5 linked regions of the Nothobranchius furzeri genome follow. The protein of the gene in region 1 interacts with the protein of each later gene in a pairwise test. Links are inferred from orthologs where the notes say so. Each region holds a gene or a part of one and is shown in the gene's direction. Other genes may lie near its edges.

Region 1 (4,088 bases):
AAGGGAAGAATTTGTTTAGAACCAAATTCTATGTTCATTTCAAATACCATCAAAATGAATCACTTAAATCCTAAAGTTGGATGCTGTTGGTTTTTTTATAAGCTTGAGTGAAACACAAAACAGCCATGGTCAGATAATAGTTTGTAATAAAACAGATTACTTACAGGTGATGTGTGTATCTGCGGTGTTTTCTTTTAGGTTTGTGCAGCTCGGTGTCTGTGCTGTGAATGATGTCAGAGAGCAGCTTGCCTGCCTCCTGCTAGAGCGTCTGTTGCGTTGGTGGGGGCGAAACAGCCAAAAGCCCTCCCATGAACAGCTGGGGATGCAGAGCGGAGGAAACGCTCTTTGTTTAGTTTGAATGAAGGCAGGTGGAGAGATGGGTGAGGAAGGGGGAGTGGTAAAGGAGGGGTTGATGAACGTTCCAAAGTAGGTGATGTGTTTTGCTTTTTCCTTAACCATAACACATCCTGATAAAATGTTTCTCAAAAGACATATAAAGAAAACTTAGCACATCTGGGAATTGAACCCGGAGTCTCTCGCATTCAATATGAGAATCATACCCCTCTACCAACAAAATGCTGATGTGTTAAAGGAACATATGTATATTGTAGGTAATAAATGTTTCATGTTTTCTTGACATTTGTGCTGTTGAAGCATCGGTTCACGATGACACCTTGCTCGCGGGATTGCGGTAAAAACGGAAAAGCTATCATGATATCCCTCTTCCCTAGCCATGGCCAAGCAGATAATTTATACAACACTCACGCAGCGACACAGCGACCAATATGTTCGGACAGCAGACCGCCGAATTTTCAAATCACATTCTAAATGACCATGCTAAAAATTATGGGCTCGTCCGGGATTTGAACCCGGGACCTCTCGCACCCGAAGCGAGAATCATACCCCTAGACCAACGAGCCACGTGTCCGGGAAAGACACATAAAATAATTTAAAGTTAATTTAAAGTGATATGTAGTTTTTCTGTAAATGTACTGTTTTAAAAGTATTATTGTATTTTTACACACTATAATAGAATGTCTAATTTCATGGAATTTCAGACGTACCTTCACGTTACACGACATCTGAATCTTAAGCCGTGAGATTAATGTGTTTGTTTTTTCTTTAATTTTCCCTCCCAAACCTTATTTTTAAAGTCGAAGACCAAATAATAAATTACATTTTTTAAAATGTTGCCTACGTAAAACGTAATGAGGTCACAGTTAGAAGGCGGATGTACCGCCTTGGAACCGGAAATTCTTTGTAAAGAAAAGCAGTTGAACGCCGAATAGTGTTGTTGACGTAGCGATGTCATCAAACTTGTTTATACTCTACAACGTGCCGGTCTTAGCTTGTAAGGACAATCTGGATAGAGTCCACCGTGTTGTAGCACCTTAGCGCGCAGAGGGGACAGACGGCGCCATTTTTGAACGAGATGGAGGTTTCTTTGGAATCAATACAGAATCCTGATATAAGGTAACAGACGTTTGGTTTGTCGTGAGGCTAAGTCAGCCATCTTTAGATGCGTGTTTACACAAATGAAGTTGATAACACGCTTTAATCTTCTGCTACGCAGCTCTGTCCTGTCCTCATGCGAGCCTGAGCTGCAGGAGCTGATGAGACAGATTGACATTATGATCAATCATCAGAAGAGGGAGTGGGAGGCTGAGCTCCACGCTCTGCAGCTCAGGGTCACCAGTGGAGAAGAAGAGCTTTTAACCTCCAAGACTACCATTGAACGGAGGGATCTGGAGGTGAAGTGACGATTCATCCTTTTTTGCTCAAAAGAATCACAAAAGTAATTTAATCAACACAGAAGCTTGTAATAAAAAAGCAAGCATGCCCTTATTTTGACATGCAGCATTTTGAAGGTAACATTTTTCCATCCCATTTCCAATTCCAAACATGGACTCTCCTGCTAAAACAGTTTTTATGGCCACTGTCTCCATTTCTGGCCTCACCTAATGTTGGAGACTTACTAAATTATTCCTTAAATGATCAGAAAGCCTCTGCTATGAAGATTCGTTGTACTCTCAAAACAAAACCTCCTGCAGATTCAATTAAATGTTTCAAAAATAAATGTAAATGTGTGAGGATGTTGGTTTTAGGACATGTTTTAAACCGTAAGGAAGGAGACAGTAAATAGTTGTGGCATGAAGCATTTTATCTCTATTCCCATAATAACACCATCACCTATTCAATCAATCAATCAAACTTTATTTCAGACAAGGGATATGTCCATAACAAGAATAAAAAAAATAAAAAATAAATAAAAAAATAAAATACAAACACATTCTAATTACAAACCATATAGGCAGTTGCTCCAATGTTTAAAAAGGACTGAGGAGTACCTCGTGTCACTGTAAGATAAAGATGACAGAGCTCTAACAACCGCGTTAGCTGACAAACTCAGTCGGCAGATGAATTTGTACATGAAGAGCCTCAGAAGCGCATGAAAAGTTGGGATGTTACTCGTAACAAACATGTGACTTGCCGAAGTCCATCTAGGGAGCTTCATGAGGATTCTAAAAGCATCCTGATAAGCCACTTGAAGCTTCTTCATTACTACCTTACTATAGTTGCACCACAAGTGGGCGGTATAGAGAGGAGTACAAAAGGAACGAAAGAGGGACACTTTTACAGGATCTGAGCACATGCCAAAGTTACGTGCCAGAGTGTTAGCCTGCATGTACAGCTTACCACACTGCCTCTTAATGTCCTCGTCATCACAGAGGTCACTTCTTAAAATGTGCCCCAAATATTTTACTTTGCTTACCACTTCCAGGACCTGATTTGTTAAGTTAAAAGATGGAAAATTAAGCTTCAGGTCCCCTTTAGTAGCAGCAATCATAACCACACTCTTTTTAGGGTTAAACAGGATGTCAAATTGCTCACCATACTTAGCACATGCCCTGAGCAGCTGCTGCAGGCCTGCGCTATAGGGAGACATGAGGACTAGGTCATCTGCATATATTAAATGATTTACCAGTCGGTCACCCACCAAGCATCCAGTCTTACTAGCATTCAGAGTAACAGACAACTCGTCAAGGTACAGGTTAAAAAGGACAGGTGACAGAATCCCGCCTTGTCTGACTCCATTTGATACGGAGAAAGGTTCAGACACTTCTGTCCCCCACTTTACCTGCATCAGTTGATGAGAGTACCAGAAGTGCAAAATCCTAACTAGGTAAGAAGGGACCCCTCTGTTTTGTAGCTTGATGAATAATTTCTGATGATTGACTCTGTCAAAGGCCTTAGAGGCATCTAAAAAACACATAAAAACAGAAGTATTATGCCTCATGTATTTGTTGCAGATTGGACTTCTTCACAAGCAGCTTGAAGCCGTTCAGACGGATCGGCAAGAGTTGGTATCCAAGTACGAACAACAACTAAAGAGACTCCGTGAAGAGGTGTGATCATCTGTTTTTCCTCAAATGCACTCAGCTATATCGCTTGTATCATGTTTATTGTTAACATCGTTTCTTATAGTTGGACAAGTTGAAGAGAAGTTACCAGAAGCTTCATCGCAAACAGCTTAAGGAGACAAGTGGAGGTGGAAAGGAGACTGAGCTTGCAAAGGTGAACTAATAGATTTTCCTGGCATTTCCATCTCCTGGAATTTGATTAATCGTTCTTACATTGGTGCAGAAGCATCAGCAGCGCTCTGAGCAGCAGCGAACTCGGTACCAAAACCAGCTGACCACACTGGAGCTCCAGAATAAAAGCCTGAACCAGGAGCTTGCTCACTTAAAGGTTAAAAAGCACATTTATGACTTTCACTCAGGAAGCCAGACATATTTAGTGTATAAAAGTGTGGAAGACTGCTGCATTGTTGTTGCATTTCAGTAATATTTGTTTTTCCAGAGCCAATGGGCATCGGGGCGGGTGGAGAGGGAACACAAGGAGTGCTGTTCAGAGGTGCAGCATCTGCGTGCACAGCTGGAGAAGGCTCAGGCCAGCCTGCACTCACAGGAACTGGAACTGGATCGCCTCAGACCGCTGGAGGTGCTGTTGGGACAGTCCCAGAGAGAGCAGCAGGTTAGCAGGGCGACAGGAACATGTGAGATGTGTGGCTTCTCAGCTGGATACCA
Region 2 (3,514 bases), on another chromosome or scaffold:
CATAAGAAACACGCCAAAGCCATTTTTAGCCTCATTCATGCATTTTCCTCCCATCTCAGCTTCAATTTGGTCTCCTCCCCAGAAGCGGGCATGGTCTTGGTTCTCAAATCTGGATATTCTGTGAATTTTCTGACAAATTATTTCTGAAATGACTTCTACTGAGACACCGCCAAAACATACAACCCATCTCAGAGACACACTGGGAAGGACAGTTAGATGTAACGCGGCATAAGTTACAACAGATGTGGTGGTGTAGTGGTTAGGGAATTGGGTTGACAATCAGTTTTGCGCAGGTTCGCCTCCCATTAGTGAAAGTTTTAGGTAGTGTGCAACCTCTTTTCTTCATTTCTAGCTACACTTGCCAGTACTATGTTTAAAACAATTTACTGGTATACCGTTTAACATATAATGACTAATGTGTTTTTTTATTTATTTATTCGTTTATTTAGCCAGTGTGAGTCCATTTGTGAGCAGAGTTTCAACTAAAATGCTGTTTAAGAACGACCAAATTCAAAGAACTTTTAGAGACAAATATTTTGCTGAAAATAAACATTACAACTAAAATATAAACAAATTAAATGTTTCAGCTGGCTAAATAGATTGCTGACGACCCCACCGAGAGTCGAACCAGCATCAGCTGAGGGGAAAGCAAAATTTACCCCATTCGATCTCACCACTAGACTACATAAGCTCATCCGAAAATCTGACATACTGTTATACAGCACTTTTGTTAGACCGGCTGTGGGCAGATATTCGCTAAAAGAAACCTTTTCATTTCGAGATATATTCAGTCTTTGTCATGTAGCAAGTTATATTTATCTTGTTTAGAACATAGCATTAACGACTGTAAACTAGTAACAGCCGTAATTCATGTGGGTCAGGTCAGTTTGCGATAAAGTTGAAAACAAAAACGGAAGTCAGTGGGTAAGCTGAGTTTGCGTGAATGGGCGGGGCTGACTCTGGTGCAGCTCCACCTTATGGTGCAGCTCCGCCTTTGTGGTTCTGCAGCGAGCACCCTCTCGAGTGTTTAGCTAACCTGCAGGAAATGTCGACGACAGTTATCCAGAAAGTAGCTAAGGGCTACCAGAGATGTTTCTGAGGTGTTCGCTAGGTACTTTTAAGTTAAAAAGTTAAGAAGGGGTCTGAAAAGCTGCTAGAAATAGCGTCAAAGTCACTAAGTTGGCAACATTGTGGGAGGAGCGCTTCATTTGCAACTCAGGGCAGCGCAAGCGGGAGGAGCAAGTAATCGGCTTGTTTTGTTTTTTATAATCGTTCAAAACTCAGATCGTAATCGTGATTAAAATTCGATTAATTGAGCAGCCCTACGTTTACATACCGTACACATTTTATACATCTAACTCATCTGCTTCATCTCCTCTCACTCAAAATGCCTAAATAGGACAGATCTGAGGTTTAGTATTTGAGATATTTTAGGTCATTTTTATTTTTTGGTACATTTTTAGAATGATTAGGCATTTGCTATGTGTAGTAGGGATCTTCCACATAGCTATGTGTAGCCAGCTAGCAAAACGATTAAAACAAGCACAAGAATCTTCACCCAAGGTTTGCTTATCTTAAAAGAAGACTTTTCAGCCCCCAACAAGTTCATAAGCTCTAAGAAGGTTTCCAATTGTAAACATGCTTCATGTTTGTGTTGTAGGTGTGTGCAACAAACTTTGGAGAAATTTGCTCTATTGTTGGTCAAGAGAGCACAGAAAAACTACTGGTGAGGGACTTGTTTTGTTCCTTTAATTCATACTTTATTTTTAACATGAATGCAGCCTGTTTATGATGTTAGTCTGTGCATTGAGCAGCTTTGTTGGTGTTGTGAGGTCACCATGGTGTAATGAAAGTTCAACAGAGTCTCTGTTGTTCTGCTGCTCTCTGCCCTTCAAACACTCACATTGTTTTGGTTTTGCATTCACCACAGATGTCCAAGTTCTTCAACCTGTGCTCAGATTCCCTCTGGGGCATCAGGAAAGCATGCGCTGAGTGCTTCATGACAGTCTCCAACTCCACCTCTCCAGAGGTGCGACGCTCAAAGTTGTCCCCCCTGTTCATCAACCTCATCAGCGATCAGTCTCGTTGGGTAAGACGACCAGGAACGAATTCAGTTCAAATGACTAGTTTCTTTAGGAAGGAAATACTGGCGGATGCTGCTTCGAGTTGTTTCTCATTTTGAATGTTTTACCCCCAAAAAATGAAAACGGTTCTGGATTTGATTTCTTTAAATGTGTTCAGTGATGGAACCTAAAACCACTTCCTGCTTGTTGTAAACTAGGAATTTCTGCAATTCATTATCAATCCTCGTTTTCTTGAAGTTCTTTATGATGTTTAAGACTCTTTTCAGTTTGTTCTGATGTGCGTGCACACCAAGAGTTTTCTCAGAGATGCAGTCAGGAGCTTATTTCGATAAAATCTGCTCTCTACACATTGTTGTTGACTAATTCAATAAGGGATGAACAGAGGGACTTCGCTCTTTATTTGCTTTCAGGTGCGACAAGCTGCCTTTCAGTCTTTGGGTCGATTCATCTCCACCTTTGCCAGCCCCTCTAGCACAGGACTTCACTTTAGAGAGGACGGCGCCCTCCCAGAGGTCCCCAGGTGTACCCCAGACAGGCAAGATCACCTCCGTTTTGTCAAAGCAGTTGTGAACATCAGCAAAGATAAAATTTCTTTGTTCCTGTACGTTGTTTTAAGGCCAGTTTTATACCAGACCTGAGTTTGAGGATTAGTTTTTTTTAATTGATCATAATCTGGGTCATTGAGTACGGCTTAACCGACAGCGTTTGAAAAAAGAACGTTTAACCAAATAGATGACTCACGTGTTTTACATTTTTGTGTCTTCAGTAACTGTCCTCTAAACCCTCTGAACTGCTCCGACATCAGCGGCTGCCTCAAAGACAGAACCATCACCCACACACCCCCCAATCAGGACGGCCGTGCCACCCCCTCACCGGAGCACGTCCCTTCTGCAGATGGCGAGGACGTGGACAGCTTCGAGGAGAACCGCTCTCCTGTTCCCGTAAACAGACCGGATGGCTTCACTCTCACAAACAGCAGCGACGGCCCCACAGCCACCAACAACATCAAGAACACAAAAGAACACGAGCAGACAGACGAGAACTTTAATTCCTTCAACTATTGGAGGCCTCCTTTACCCGACATCAGCGAGGAGCTGGAGATGCTAAATTGTGAGAAATCGGAGGAAGTCACAGAAAAGGAGGAAACGGAAGAGGAGGAGCACCAGGAAAGTAGTTCAGATTCTAAACCCAGCCCCGGAAAAGCTACCAGCGATCAAATCCAAAAGGTCTTGGACTGTTTGACGCCTCACATTGCTGATCCCGATGTACAAGGTGGGTAGATAGGAATGGAGATTTTACTGGTGTGTAGATTTAACTGAGTGTGTATTTCACCTCCAGTTCAAGTCCAAGTCTTGTCAGCAGCTCTGAAGGCGGCCCAGCTCGACAGCCCGTCTGACGGCAGCCCGACAGAAACCAGCCCTACCGAGGAG
Region 3 (3,514 bases), on another chromosome or scaffold:
TCAGGGCTTTTATCATCTCTGGTGTGAGTTTAAAATATAAGTGAGTTAGCACTGTGTTGATTATCCCTAATATGAATAAATGTTTATTTATTCAATGTTTCTCTTCTTTAATATGCAATAGAAGTTATGCTATTCATGGATAAAAAATCGTGATAAAATCGAAATCGTGATAAAATATTGGAAAAATCGTGATATTCTATTTTTGCCATATCGCCCAGCCCTAAGTGCAGGGAGGCCAGAACCGGACCGATGTGGTCCCATTTCCTGGTCCCAGTCAGAAACCTGGCTGCGCTGTTCTGCACAACCTGTAGGCGGCGCAGTGATGATTGACCCAGTCCTGCATATGGAGAGTTGCAGTAATCAAGCCTTGTAATTACAAAAGCATGGAGTACCCGCTCCAGGTGAGCTGTCGACAGCATAGGCTTGATTTTTGCAAGGCGTCTCAGATGAAAGAAACTGGACCGGATCACAGAGTTGATGTGAGCATCAAATTTAAGTCCAGCATCAATTTTCACCCCCAGACTGGTGACAACTGGTTTTGAGCATAGGTTTTGAGTAGGGAGAAAGAGGGCCAAGATCAACATAACGACCCACAGCCCTGCTGTTGGGGTGAAAAACAATGAGCTCTGTCTTTTCCTCATTCAGATGCAGATAGTTGGCCATTAGCCAAGACTTTACTTCGTTAAGACAGGACACAATGGACTGGATAGAGAGACCTTTCTCTTGACACAATGGAGAGTAAATCTGGCAATCGTCAGCATAGAGATGGAACGCTAGGCCATGTTTACGAAAGATTGACCCCAGTGGAAGCAGATAAATGGCAAACAAAAGATGACCAAGGATCGATCCCTTCGGGACCCCCCAGTGGAGCCTCTCCCAAGAAGAAAAAACATCATCTAGTTTTAATAGAGCTCCGGACCCTACGTGACTCTCAGTTAAGCCGGGCGTACTGAGAAACTTCTGGAGTGTTTGATATTTTGCTTGTTCCTCGTGAAGGTTGAAGCAGCGCAGCCAGCCGCTGCGACTCATAAAGTATCAGAACCGCTCACGGCGCATGCGTAATCATCAACACCGCGCGCCCGCTATTTCCCTAATATCACACGTTGTTTGTTTTTATTTCTGAACGTCTTTCACACACACAATGACAAGGATTGTCAAGAAAGCATGTTCGTCGTGTTCATGTCAAATTAAACTGATCACAAAACACAGATTTACTTTCTTTATTTCGTTTTCCTCATCCAACTCCCATAAATCCCTGTGTGTCCTCCTGCGGCACTCCCGAAGGACATCGGGCAAAAAAAGACAAAAAAAGTCTGACGTGTTGTGTAAAAACTGCTATTGTTAGCATATTTTTAGGTCCGACGTGTTGCTACCAGACGTACAGTGTGAGCACATGACTCGTGAGATCTGCTCTGCGAGGAAGTCGTACAGTTTGAGCTGAACCTGAGTGCTACGAGTGAAAAAGTCGCACAGTGTTCGCCCAGCTTAAGACCCTCAGTAGAGCATACTCTGTGCTATGGCCAGACCTGAACCCTGATTGGAAAACCTCAAACAGATCAGAGTCAGCTAAATGTGAGACCAGCTGCTGATAAACGGCTTTCTCAAGCAGTTTCGATGTAAAAGGCAGGGTAGAGATGGGCCCGTAATTTGCGATCACAGAGACATCAGCACCAGGTTTCTTCTGCATCCAGATTACCACACTGTGCGCCAGTAAAAAGAATTTTTCTTACACGTAACTTACTTTTGTTCAATTAAGTTCTGGGGAAAATAGTAATTCAAAGATGTTGCACCAGTGCTACTTTTAAAAATAAACAGACACGCACAGTTTATTTCGTCGCACTGTACAAAACTGCTCTGATATGGAAGAGCCTGGGGGAAAATCAGGACATCAGTAGTACCAACCATAGATATGTAACTAGCGAGAAAAAGCATTTTTGGTCTTTGTCTGCAGCGGTTTTAGGACTTTTCGGTGCACCGCTGCTGATACAGCGCCCCCTGTAGTGCAAAGCTGCAACTGCAGTTAAAATAGCATCCATGTAGCTGGGGGCAGAGTGAAATCAGGCTGGGGTGGCACAAAATTAGCTGGAGGCGGCTGCCACGCAAATTTGAATGCAGGAAAAACCCTGTGTATCACACTTAGTTTATTGTGTTATTGACAACAGCTTGATAACTCTATTTCTGTAGAAATCATAAGTTGATCATCGGTGTTGTGAATTAAACAGGCACAACTAGCCTCTGTGTGCTGCTTTCAACTTCACTAGTAACAAAGTCATCTCCCTCCAGATTGACAAGGAGGAAGTCTCCCTTCGCCGTGTCATTGGTGCAAAGAAGGACCAGTACTTCTTGGATAAGAAGATGGTGACGTGAGTGTCGTGTGTGGATAGACTCTTTATGCACATCCCAAAGACAATGCACGGATGTCTCTTTCATGTATTCTATTTCCTGTTCTCGTTGCAGTAAGAACGACGTCATGAACCTTCTGGAGAGTGCCGGCTTCTCTCGCAGTAACCCCTATTACATTGTGAAGCAGGGAAAGGTGAGAAACAGAAAATACTTGTCTTTAGGCTGCTCCACGTAAAGTAATTATTAGGGCTGGGGGTAAACGATTATTTTTAAAACGATTATTCTGACGATTATTTTATCGAATAGTCGACTATTCTAATGACTATTTAGAAAATTAATCTAATGATTATTTTTCTAAATAGTCATTAGAATAGTCGACTATTCTAATGACTATTTAGAAAATTAATCTAATGATTATTTTTCTATTGCACAATTAACAAAAACCAGAAAATCTCAAATAAATTCCTCAAAAAAATGGATAAATTGTTACTGTAAGATAATAAACACTACAGGCCTTCCATTTTGTATAACACTGCTTTTATTGTGTTGCGGTTGGTTATGTTCTGGTGACGTGTAGAACTTGGGAGTGCAGGCTGCTGCCTGAGAGGTGGTAGAAGATGGAGTGTCTCCATGCTGCTTTGTTTTGGTCACTTATGTGCGTGAGGCGAGTGGTCTTACGGGTTAAACCAAACTCAGGTGATATTTTACACTAAACCGAAAACCCACAACACTCTAAATGTAATAAAAGGGAGATCTACACCACAAAAAAATGAACTCTAAACCAAAACGTAACAGCTTATCCCAACGCAAGAAGCTGTTAGCGAAGATGCTAACAGTAGCTTTACCAACATTAAATTCAAGTTACCAAGTTTAAATAAACCAAAAACACCCGGCAGCAAACAGACCAGCACGGAGGAGAGACTGCTACCACCAAAACAGCTCTCCTCATGTCTGAAAGAAGCTCCTTTATGAAGGGAGAAGCGCTCCCGGTGATTTTCTACATCTGCGATAGACACGAAGCAGCGCATCTGACCCCGGAAGTTGTTGTCCGTTGCCGGGAGACGAAGGGGCAAAACAGGAAAATAATCTAGTAGTGGACGGACGTTGTTCCGGGTCTTCGGTATTTGGCGGAGATGTTAGTGAAGGCGGAGAAGAGGGCGAACTAGAGGAA
Region 4 (4,304 bases), on another chromosome or scaffold:
CCCCCAAGAGCTCGTCGTCGTCTCCTCCTCTGCCCCAGACGGAGCTCCCTGGACTTTACTGGTTCCTGCCTCCTCTCCACCGGTCCCTCAGTTCCTCTTGGCCCTCCTTCCTGGTCCCCCTCCTCCCACCCTGCTCTGTGTTCCTGTGGGTGTCTGGGATCCGCCCTTTGAGGGGGGGGGGGGGGTGTAGGGTACTGTCACACCCTGTCCTGTCTCCCCGTTCTGTTTAGTCATGTGTCTCTAATTGCTCCCACCTGCCTCTCGTTTTCCAATCACCCAAGCTCCCAGCCCTCTTGTATTTAAACCCCTTCAGTTCTGTGTCTCGTGTTGGATCATTGTTTCTATGTCAGCGTGTTCCCGATTAAAATCCCTGTTTTAATGTTCCTGTTTGCCTGCCTGCCTCCTTCACCCGTGTGTGGATCCTCACCTCCGTCTCACTCACCAGCACGCCTGACATTATGTTTCTATCCTAATGAAAAAAAACATGTTTAATATTTTTGTTTTACTGAAAGTATAACAAAACTGATTACTAGTGTGCTTGGATCCTGTATGTTCTTTTCTAGTTTAGTTTAGTTTATTTCAAACAAAGAAAACATACATCATTTTTTTTAAAATACCACAAACAGAAAAAATACATATCATCATCCCTTCTTCTCTGTTTGAAAAGGAGTAGGCAGAAGTGGGAACTTATATGTCCCTACCCCTTTATACAAGTAAGTTTTACTTGTTTACTAAATCTAACACAAAACCTACATTAAAACAAACAAAATGGTACAAGTCACCAAAAAATAAAAAATAAACACCAAACCATATGGGAAAAAAAACAACAAAAAAAAACACATTTTTTTTACAATTGATACAATTTACTTTTCCTTAGAATAAAGGACACCCACTTAAATCATCGATTTTCCACTATATACTTGTTCAGAATATGTTTTTTATAATTCATTTTTAACACATTTATATTTGTACTTACTTTGATTTCCTCTTCTAAATTGTTCCATAATCTAACCCCTATTATTGTGATACACAATATACACAACCCCTTTTAGGGGTTAATAGTTAAATGCTTTCTAAGACACATGAGAAGTGTGGGTTTCAGTACCGTCCTCTAAATAAACAACATCAAAAACGAACTCTGAATGTGGAAAATAGAGCTGTGCTGCTTTAAATGTGTTGTCAGCTGAGAAACAGCTTTTGTCTTACTTTTCTGTGATGGGGACTTTGAAGTTCAGATGTGCTAAAGAAATGCAGATTGGTTCCAGCTAACACTCCTACCTGTTGACACAGCTGTGAGCAAAATAAAGACATTCCCATAAAATCTGACAGTTTAACCACCTCTCAAATGCTTATGTGTAGTTGTGCAGTAGCGGGGAAGTGTGTATTTGCAATTTTTTACGTAACAATCTGTCTTTTACTTTCTAAACAAACCCATATTTTTCTGTCCCTTTGCCTTAGACACATCTCCCCTTCGAAGGTTTGCTCTGATGGAGCAGCGATTCTCAGTCTTCCTGGACAGGCACCATGTTTCCTTGCCACGTAACTGCTTGGCCTTCTGCTGAGCCCCCAGCGTCTTGCGGTAGCCATGCCCCCTCAGTGCAGCCCTCCCAACCTCTCCCTGATCTGCTGTGCAGCTGTCCTGTGCCACCTTTAAACACTTACACTGTCCTCGGACCCCATGGAGTCCCTCATCGTGGTCACGGAGTATGAACCAAGCCGGCCACCTGGACAGGCTGCAGAGGAAGAGGTGAGATGAAAAATAATCTGATTTATAGAAAGTGCAAGATTCAAATACATAATTGGGAAAATTTGTAATAAATCTTCATATTGACCTAAAGTGAAGTTTCAAATGCTAGCCTGAATAAAAACACAAACTTTAACACCTTATTAAAAGTTTGTACTCAACTACTGACATTTATTTATGTTAAAATGAAGTAACAAAAATTATTTCTATGCACTACATCAGGTAGAAGAAATGGACAGCTCTGAGACGCCCGAGCCTGCTTCCTCCCCTGCAGCACCTTTCCGGACTCCATCCTGTGACCTGCTGTCCCATACATTTGGTCGGCCAGAGGCTCTGCTGCCGGAAAGCCAAGAGCAGAGGGGCAGGCTGAGCCTGTCCGACCGGAAGCTCTCTTTGCAGGAGCGCTCACAGACGGCAGCATCCCCCTGCAGCTCCCCTGGATTAAACGGGCGCTATATTTACCCATCACTACCATACTCTCCTATCACATCACCCCATTCTTCTCCACGTCTGCCCCGCCGGCCCACCGTGGAGTCCCACAGCGTCTCCATCACAGATCTGCAGGTACTGTTCAACCCTGAACTTTACCTTTTAGTTTTAACACCACAGTCAATTATTTGGGTTGTCACATATCAAATAATCATGACTTTAAAGAAAATTGTCTAATTAATGGCCACAAGCTGTGCAGGAGTACTGGTGATAATGTGATTCTGGATCTCTGAACCATCTGACCCACTTCATTCTTTTCTAGATGTTGTGTGTTGCATGAAACCCAAAAAACTTACTCTGACACATAGCCATGGTTCTCTTTAAAGATGTGGTTCACCCATTTAATCAATAGAGCTCCGGACGTCACGTGACTCTCAGAGAGTAGACGCCATGTTGGCAGGCAACAAATGTAAACAAAATGAACGGGATCGGCTTGGATTTTACTTCGTTGGAGTTTACTTCACACTTTAAAACCAAATAAATCTTTTTATATAGTCAGAAATTAAATTGACTAAACATCTCCGACCCTTACCGTGCCCCTGGGATACTTTTTAAAAATGCCAGAAGCTGTCAGAACGGACTTCTTACCGGACCTGGCCGGGGAACGCCTTGGGATTTCTTCGGAGGAGCTGGCCCAAGTGGCTGGGGAGAGAGAAGTCTGGGCCGCTCGACTTAGGCTACTGCCTCCATAACCTGACTCCGGATAAGCGGATGAAAATGGATGGATGGACAAATAACATAGATTTACATGTAAGTAGTTTAAATAGAGTGCTGTGCTGTTTGAAAGTATAAACTGAGCGCCAAGAGAAATCACTAGTCTGATTTTTTCCCGTGAATAAAATAAATATGTCAGGCAGGAGCGTCTCAGGATCTGTCTGAGATCTGTCTCGGTGAGACAGATAATAGCAATCCAAAGTGCTTTTTATGTGTGATCTGACAATTGATCAACCATTGCTTAAAAATTAAATACAGCTTAGCCGGTTAATTGCTGTCATCATAAAACACGTAAACGGCAGCACGCAGAAACACGAGGCAACGTTTTACGTGACGTTTACTTGTTGCTATGAGTAATAAGACAGAAAAAGCCACGCCAAAATAAGTTTAGGAAGCCCACTAAGAATCGTAATAAAAGCATTTAAAATAAACACCATACACAGTTGAGGAAACGTTGGTTTAAGTACCTGATATGAAGCGGTCGCTGCATAAGCGAAAACCTTTACTCTCGGGATCCCACAGTTTCATTTTAGCCCGGTCACTAGCACGTTTTATTACAATGATCCAACGTTTGCAGCGCTCCGGATCTTGGGGAATCCTGTAGATGGCTCATTCCTTGTGTCGTCCACGTCTGTTCTGCATTCTGGGGCACAACAGGAATCTACCATATTTCCTGTTTGATTGAGTTTTCTGACAATAACAAATAGTCCAGCCGCTGGCTTCTGACTGCCAAGATGGCGCCGTTTTGATTGGAACTGTTGCATGCCGGGAGAAGTGACGTCAACTCCCGGAGCTCTATACATTTGCAGTGGTCTCTAGCAGGAATGCCATTTTCGGAGGTAGGGGTGGGTATGCCTGTTTCAGGAAGTACAAATCAGCATGAGAAAGAAGCTTCAGGTGGCAGGATTTGGATTTGAACATCTCCCTTCTGATCTGCTAACAGCAAAGCAACTCTATCACTGACTCTGTTAGCTCTGCAACGTTGATGCTTTATCTCCACAAAAAACACAAGCTTGAAGGAGTTCTGCTGTGTTGTGGAGTTGCTAATGCTAAGGGCTGTGATATACTTGCTGTTTGACCTCGTGTTGGTGCAGGCAGCAGGCTGCGTCTTTGTTCACATACTTGCTACTACACAGCACTGCACTGCATGTAGTTCTGGAGCATTCCATTAAGGGGTACACTAGACTATTCAGACCAGATGGAGAGAGCTGGGTTTGTGGGTACAGCCAAAACAAACATGGCGTCAATAAAAGACCTCACTAACTGGTTAGTTTGGAAATCACGAAAGAAAAAAAAGAGAGCAGCGGTGAGATGGTGTGAAAGCCCTCTAAACCAGATACAGAGTCACCATGTTGGC
Region 5 (3,981 bases), on another chromosome or scaffold:
ATAAATAATTATGTGTTTTGACTATGTCTGTCACGTAATTTGAGATTTATTTGCTTAAAAAAGTCATAAATAAAAAAATTACAAAGCAGAAGTTGCAAACTTGCAAATATGACGTCGGCGCAGAATCTCATCTCCCTAGCGTAGCTGCTACTTTGCACGTGGCCAGATTTATAACCTTAACTCTGAAAACATATTTTTTATTATTATTTCTGATCAGTCACTAAGTTATGCTGGCTGAACATGAAAATAGTCTCCCACACATATGTCCTGCTATGGTGAAACAAGGATTAGAAAAGCCAGTCAGTGTTAGAGGTGCGTTGCTGTTAAGTAATCTGAGGTAAAATGTCCAAATGTCAGAAAATAAGACAGCTGTGATGAGGCTCACTTTTGGTTCCTGGAAATGCACCGGTGCCCCCCCCCCCCCCCCCCCCCCCCCAAAAGATGATTTCAATTTTAGATATGGTATATTTATTTCCCCACGTTTAGAAAATGGATTCCTACATCAAAGAATTAAATTAGACATTGGGCCCTGTCAACAGATATTAATCTCATATAATCAGAAGGAGGAGAATTTTTTGTGGTCTGTTTATTACTTTTTACAACGTGAAATATAATTATTGAGAGTAATATTCAGTTTCAATGGTGCTGAGCTGGATAATGATGCTGGATTATCTCCCTCCCCAACTACATCGGTCTCTCATTATCATTCCACCTGTGCGGTTCACAACTGTTTAAATTAGAGCCCATCATTCACTTTCTGTCTTTAGGGAGGCAGAAAAAAAATATCTCCAGTGTGAAACTTGTAATAGCTACATCTGGTGGCGAAAATTGAATACTGCAGCTGCAGCGTGGAGGTAAAATAAAATGGGTGCTTCCAAAAGTAGTGTTCACCTTGTAGATAGTTTTCAGCCGCTTTCAGAATTTAACTGTCAGCTCAAAATCAGCAGATTGTGTAAAAAAATAAAAAAAACTGAAAGAAAGGCTTATCAGGCCAGTCTGAGAAACAGCGTTTTCTCTTCTCTCCTGCTCAGTCTCTTTTCATGACTAATAGGAGCGAAGCTTAAAATTAAATCAGCACTGCGTTGATCTAAAGTAGCAAAGGTGCAACACCAAATAACGAGTTTTACTCTGAGGTTTGCAGCAGAGATGAGCTGCAGAGCGTCCTCCCTCTCTGAGCAGTGAGCTGCTCTCTCCTGGTTTATTTTGAGGGGCTCTTATCACAGCTGTTGCATCAGTGGTGGCCGCCTGTCCGAGCCCCTCCACACTCTTTCTGTTCCCCATCTGGCCCTCAGTCCTGGTAAGACCCTGCCTGCTCTTTACCCTGCTTCTTTTCTGATATTTGCACACAAATAACATAGAATTCTTGGTTTCCTAACATCTGTCTCACACGTCTAACAAACGTGGGACTGACTCCAGTGGCGGTTTGGAGTTTGCCAAGTCTGTTGAAGATGAGATGCTGTTAATTGCAGTGAGACTTTCCTGCGTCATTTGCTGTCAGAAGTTAAAATTGTCTGCTGGTGAGAGAAAAGGGAACATTTTAACCTCTAATGAAACGCTGCATAGTTAAAAGAGTTTTCCTACACATAGCTCTGTAAAATTTCCATTTTAACATGTACTTCTTTATAAAAGCGTTAAAAGATCAGAGATATTTGTCTTTATTTGAAGTTTAACCACAATAAAAAGATGTTTTCAAGAAACACTGACCCTGACATAAAAAAAGAGTGGAATAGAATTAAATAATAAACAACATGCCCATATTAAGAAGTTCCTAAAATAGCTTGTGGGTCTGGAACAGGTGCCATTTGCTCTTCTTGTGAAAGCTAATTATATGCATCTAAACAGGCTCTGGCTGCGAGTACGACTCCACAGATACAAGCATGATGGACTTTACTACACCAGGAAAGCTTTGTTCGGGTTTATCACCTCGCTGCTGCAAAGACATTGAAATTCATATAAAAAAAAGGCATTCAGATATTTCATCTAGAGCATTATTTGGTGCGTATTTCTGTTTCTGCAAAAGAAATGTGCACCAAAGTTATGTTTTTAGTCTAATAAACAAAAACAACTTCAGCAGCATAGAATATTTAAATAAGAAAAGCTTCTTGGTGGTGGAATCTGCTTAATTCTGATTAATCTGTTATGATTTCACTCAACAATATGTATGTGAAATCTCCAACCAGTTTTCTCTGTAAATCTTGTTAGGATCTGCAAGGTGCTCAAATGGAGGAAAAACACTTGATATGAGGTTTTTAGACTGAATTTCAAGGTGTTGATTTTAATGTCAGGTTACATAGTTGAAGATTTCTTTATCATTTAAGTGCTGCTAATTTAGGCATCAAACACACAAAAATTCAGGCTGTAAATGTACTCGTTGTTGCTCTTAAACATCACAGGTTTGGATACTGTAGCTGTTGTGGATAGCACTGAACAACCTCAGTTTGGAGAAGCAGAGATGAGTTCTGACTGGACAAATGCTGATCTCAGTGGGGCAAGTCACAGACTGATTAGGAATATCTCAAAAGCCTCACAGTAGTTAGTGTGAATTAACTACATAAGACTCTGGTGGTTTGCAGCAGAAACTAGCTGCTTTAGCATTTCTGAAATTAAATGCTTAAAAGGCTACGGTAGACCAGCTTGTTTGTCATACCAGAGATAATTTCTGTTCCTCTTAAAGCCAGGCGTTCTCATGTGAGAATCTTTGAGGTTGAGGCGAGTTTGGTGTTGTGTGTCCAGTAGTATACAGGGATTACGAGAGGCGATTAGCACCGCACGACCAGCTCCCAATCAGTAATTGCACAAATATCAAACATGTTTGATATTTTCCTCATCCCTCGTGAGGTTATCACACTGTTGGAACAGCGCTGCGAGCCAAAAGTACCAGAACTGCTCACACAGCGCATGCACCAACACGGCTCGTCAGCTATTTTCGTATCAACTCAAGCTGTATTACTTATTTTTATACTTTTCTCTACACACAGTGACAAGGATTGTCAAGAAAGTGTGTTTTATGCCAAATAAAACATTGTTTTACTTCCTTTCTTTTGTCTTCCTTCTCAAACCCCCATAAACCCCATGTTGTCCTTCTATGGCAAGCCCGAAGGATAACACACATTAATAACATAGTTTGAATATGTTCATTTTTCCAAATAAATGCTGAAAAAAAACCCACCAGTAACAACACAACAGGTTTTAGAAATCGAAAGTCTGACATGTTGCGTAAAAACGACTATTTGTAGCATATTTTAGCTCCGATGTGTTGCTAGCACACATACAGTGTGAACAGTACAGTGAGAGAACATGTGAGCTTTGCTCTGCGAGGAAGTCATCCAGTTTGAGATGGAGCTGAATGCTACGAGTGAAAGCCACACAATGTCCACCCGTCCTAACTGATGTTGTCCAAAAGGCTTTATGGAGGATGTAAGATATTCATTGCTTTTGGCCTTTTAAGAGAAACACTTCAAAAAGCGGAACCCCCGCTTTTATGATCTTTTATGGTTTTCTTTCCAGTAAACCACTTTTAAAGTGGCCTAAATTGTACAAATAAATCAGATGTGGCTACACAAACTAATTGTCACGGTGTAGGAGGTGGAGATGATGGACCGCTAATTAGGGAAACATGGGCAGGTAAACGAGGGACAGGTGAGAACAATAAGGGCAATCACGGCAGGAGAGGAACACAGTCAGGTTGGGCAGGGGCAGATCGTGACACTAATATTAAAAAATCCTAACATGTTTTTTGTTTGTAATGGGGAGACTGTTTCTATAAAACCTCAGATATGATGTTTAATTCAACGATGAAAACAGATTTTTTTTTATGTGAAAAAGTGATCAAAGCATTTTTGTTGTGAGATAACAGACAGAGCAGCCGTGATCTGTCTGTAAATGATTTATTTTTGGTCTCTCGTGCAGAGGCAACTGTCTCCTTTGTGTTGCTACTAGCTCAGAATAATGGAGGCTTGTCAGGAGAGCAGCACTGCCCCC

The links.
Region 2: the proteins of cep63 (region 1) and ppp4r1l interact in a two-hybrid assay, tested with the Homo sapiens proteins (2 studies listed by BioGRID and IntAct). The link is inferred for Nothobranchius furzeri from reciprocal best matches to the Homo sapiens genes CEP63 and PPP4R1.
Region 3: the proteins of cep63 (region 1) and smc3 interact in a two-hybrid assay, tested with the Homo sapiens proteins (2 studies listed by BioGRID and IntAct). The link is inferred for Nothobranchius furzeri from reciprocal best matches to the Homo sapiens genes CEP63 and SMC3.
Region 4: the proteins of cep63 (region 1) and calcium/calmodulin-dependent protein kinase kinase 2 interact in a two-hybrid assay, tested with the Homo sapiens proteins (2 studies listed by BioGRID and IntAct). The link is inferred for Nothobranchius furzeri from reciprocal best matches to the Homo sapiens genes CEP63 and CAMKK2.
Region 5: the proteins of cep63 (region 1) and txlnbb interact in binary tests that used the Homo sapiens proteins (3 or more experiments, as listed by UniProt). The two-hybrid records come from large-scale screens. The link is inferred for Nothobranchius furzeri from reciprocal best matches to the Homo sapiens genes CEP63 and TXLNB.

What each region holds. Positions count from the first base shown.
Region 1 is NC_091756.1:60,715,111-60,719,198, forward strand, and holds the start of cep63 (centrosomal protein of 63 kDa), read left to right. Parts: upstream 1-1,279; 5' UTR 1,280-1,432; coding exon 1,433-1,473; intron 1,474-1,573; coding exon 1,574-1,751; intron 1,752-3,311; coding exon 3,312-3,407; intron 3,408-3,486; coding exon 3,487-3,576; intron 3,577-3,645; coding exon 3,646-3,750; intron 3,751-3,861; coding exon 3,862-4,035; intron 4,036-4,088. UniProt on the Homo sapiens protein: Required for normal spindle assembly.
Region 2 is NC_091743.1:58,786,414-58,789,927, forward strand, and holds part of ppp4r1l (serine/threonine-protein phosphatase 4 regulatory subunit 1), read left to right. Parts: intron 1-1,660; coding exon 1,661-1,726; intron 1,727-1,930; coding exon 1,931-2,089; intron 2,090-2,494; coding exon 2,495-2,619; intron 2,620-2,850; coding exon 2,851-3,356; intron 3,357-3,422; coding exon 3,423-3,514. UniProt on the Homo sapiens protein: Regulatory subunit of serine/threonine-protein phosphatase 4. May play a role in regulation of cell division in renal glomeruli. The PPP4C-PPP4R1 PP4 complex may play a role in dephosphorylation and regulation of HDAC3.
Region 3 is NC_091744.1:4,689,808-4,693,321, reverse strand, and holds part of smc3 (structural maintenance of chromosomes protein 3), read left to right. Parts: intron 1-2,283; coding exon 2,284-2,363; intron 2,364-2,457; coding exon 2,458-2,536; intron 2,537-3,514. UniProt on the Homo sapiens protein: Central component of cohesin, a complex required for chromosome cohesion during the cell cycle. The cohesin complex may form a large proteinaceous ring within which sister chromatids can be trapped.
Region 4 is NC_091746.1:48,735,379-48,739,682, forward strand, and holds the start of calcium/calmodulin-dependent protein kinase kinase 2, read left to right. Parts: upstream 1-1,490; 5' UTR 1,491-1,678; coding exon 1,679-1,747; intron 1,748-1,966; coding exon 1,967-2,308; intron 2,309-4,304. UniProt on the Homo sapiens protein: Calcium/calmodulin-dependent protein kinase belonging to a proposed calcium-triggered signaling cascade involved in a number of cellular processes. Isoform 1, isoform 2 and isoform 3 phosphorylate CAMK1 and CAMK4. Isoform 3 phosphorylates CAMK1D.
Region 5 is NC_091758.1:20,072,792-20,076,772, reverse strand, and holds the start of txlnbb (taxilin beta b), read left to right. Parts: upstream 1-1,174; 5' UTR 1,175-1,297; intron 1,298-3,909; 5' UTR 3,910-3,948; coding exon 3,949-3,981. UniProt on the Homo sapiens protein: Promotes motor nerve regeneration. May be involved in intracellular vesicle traffic.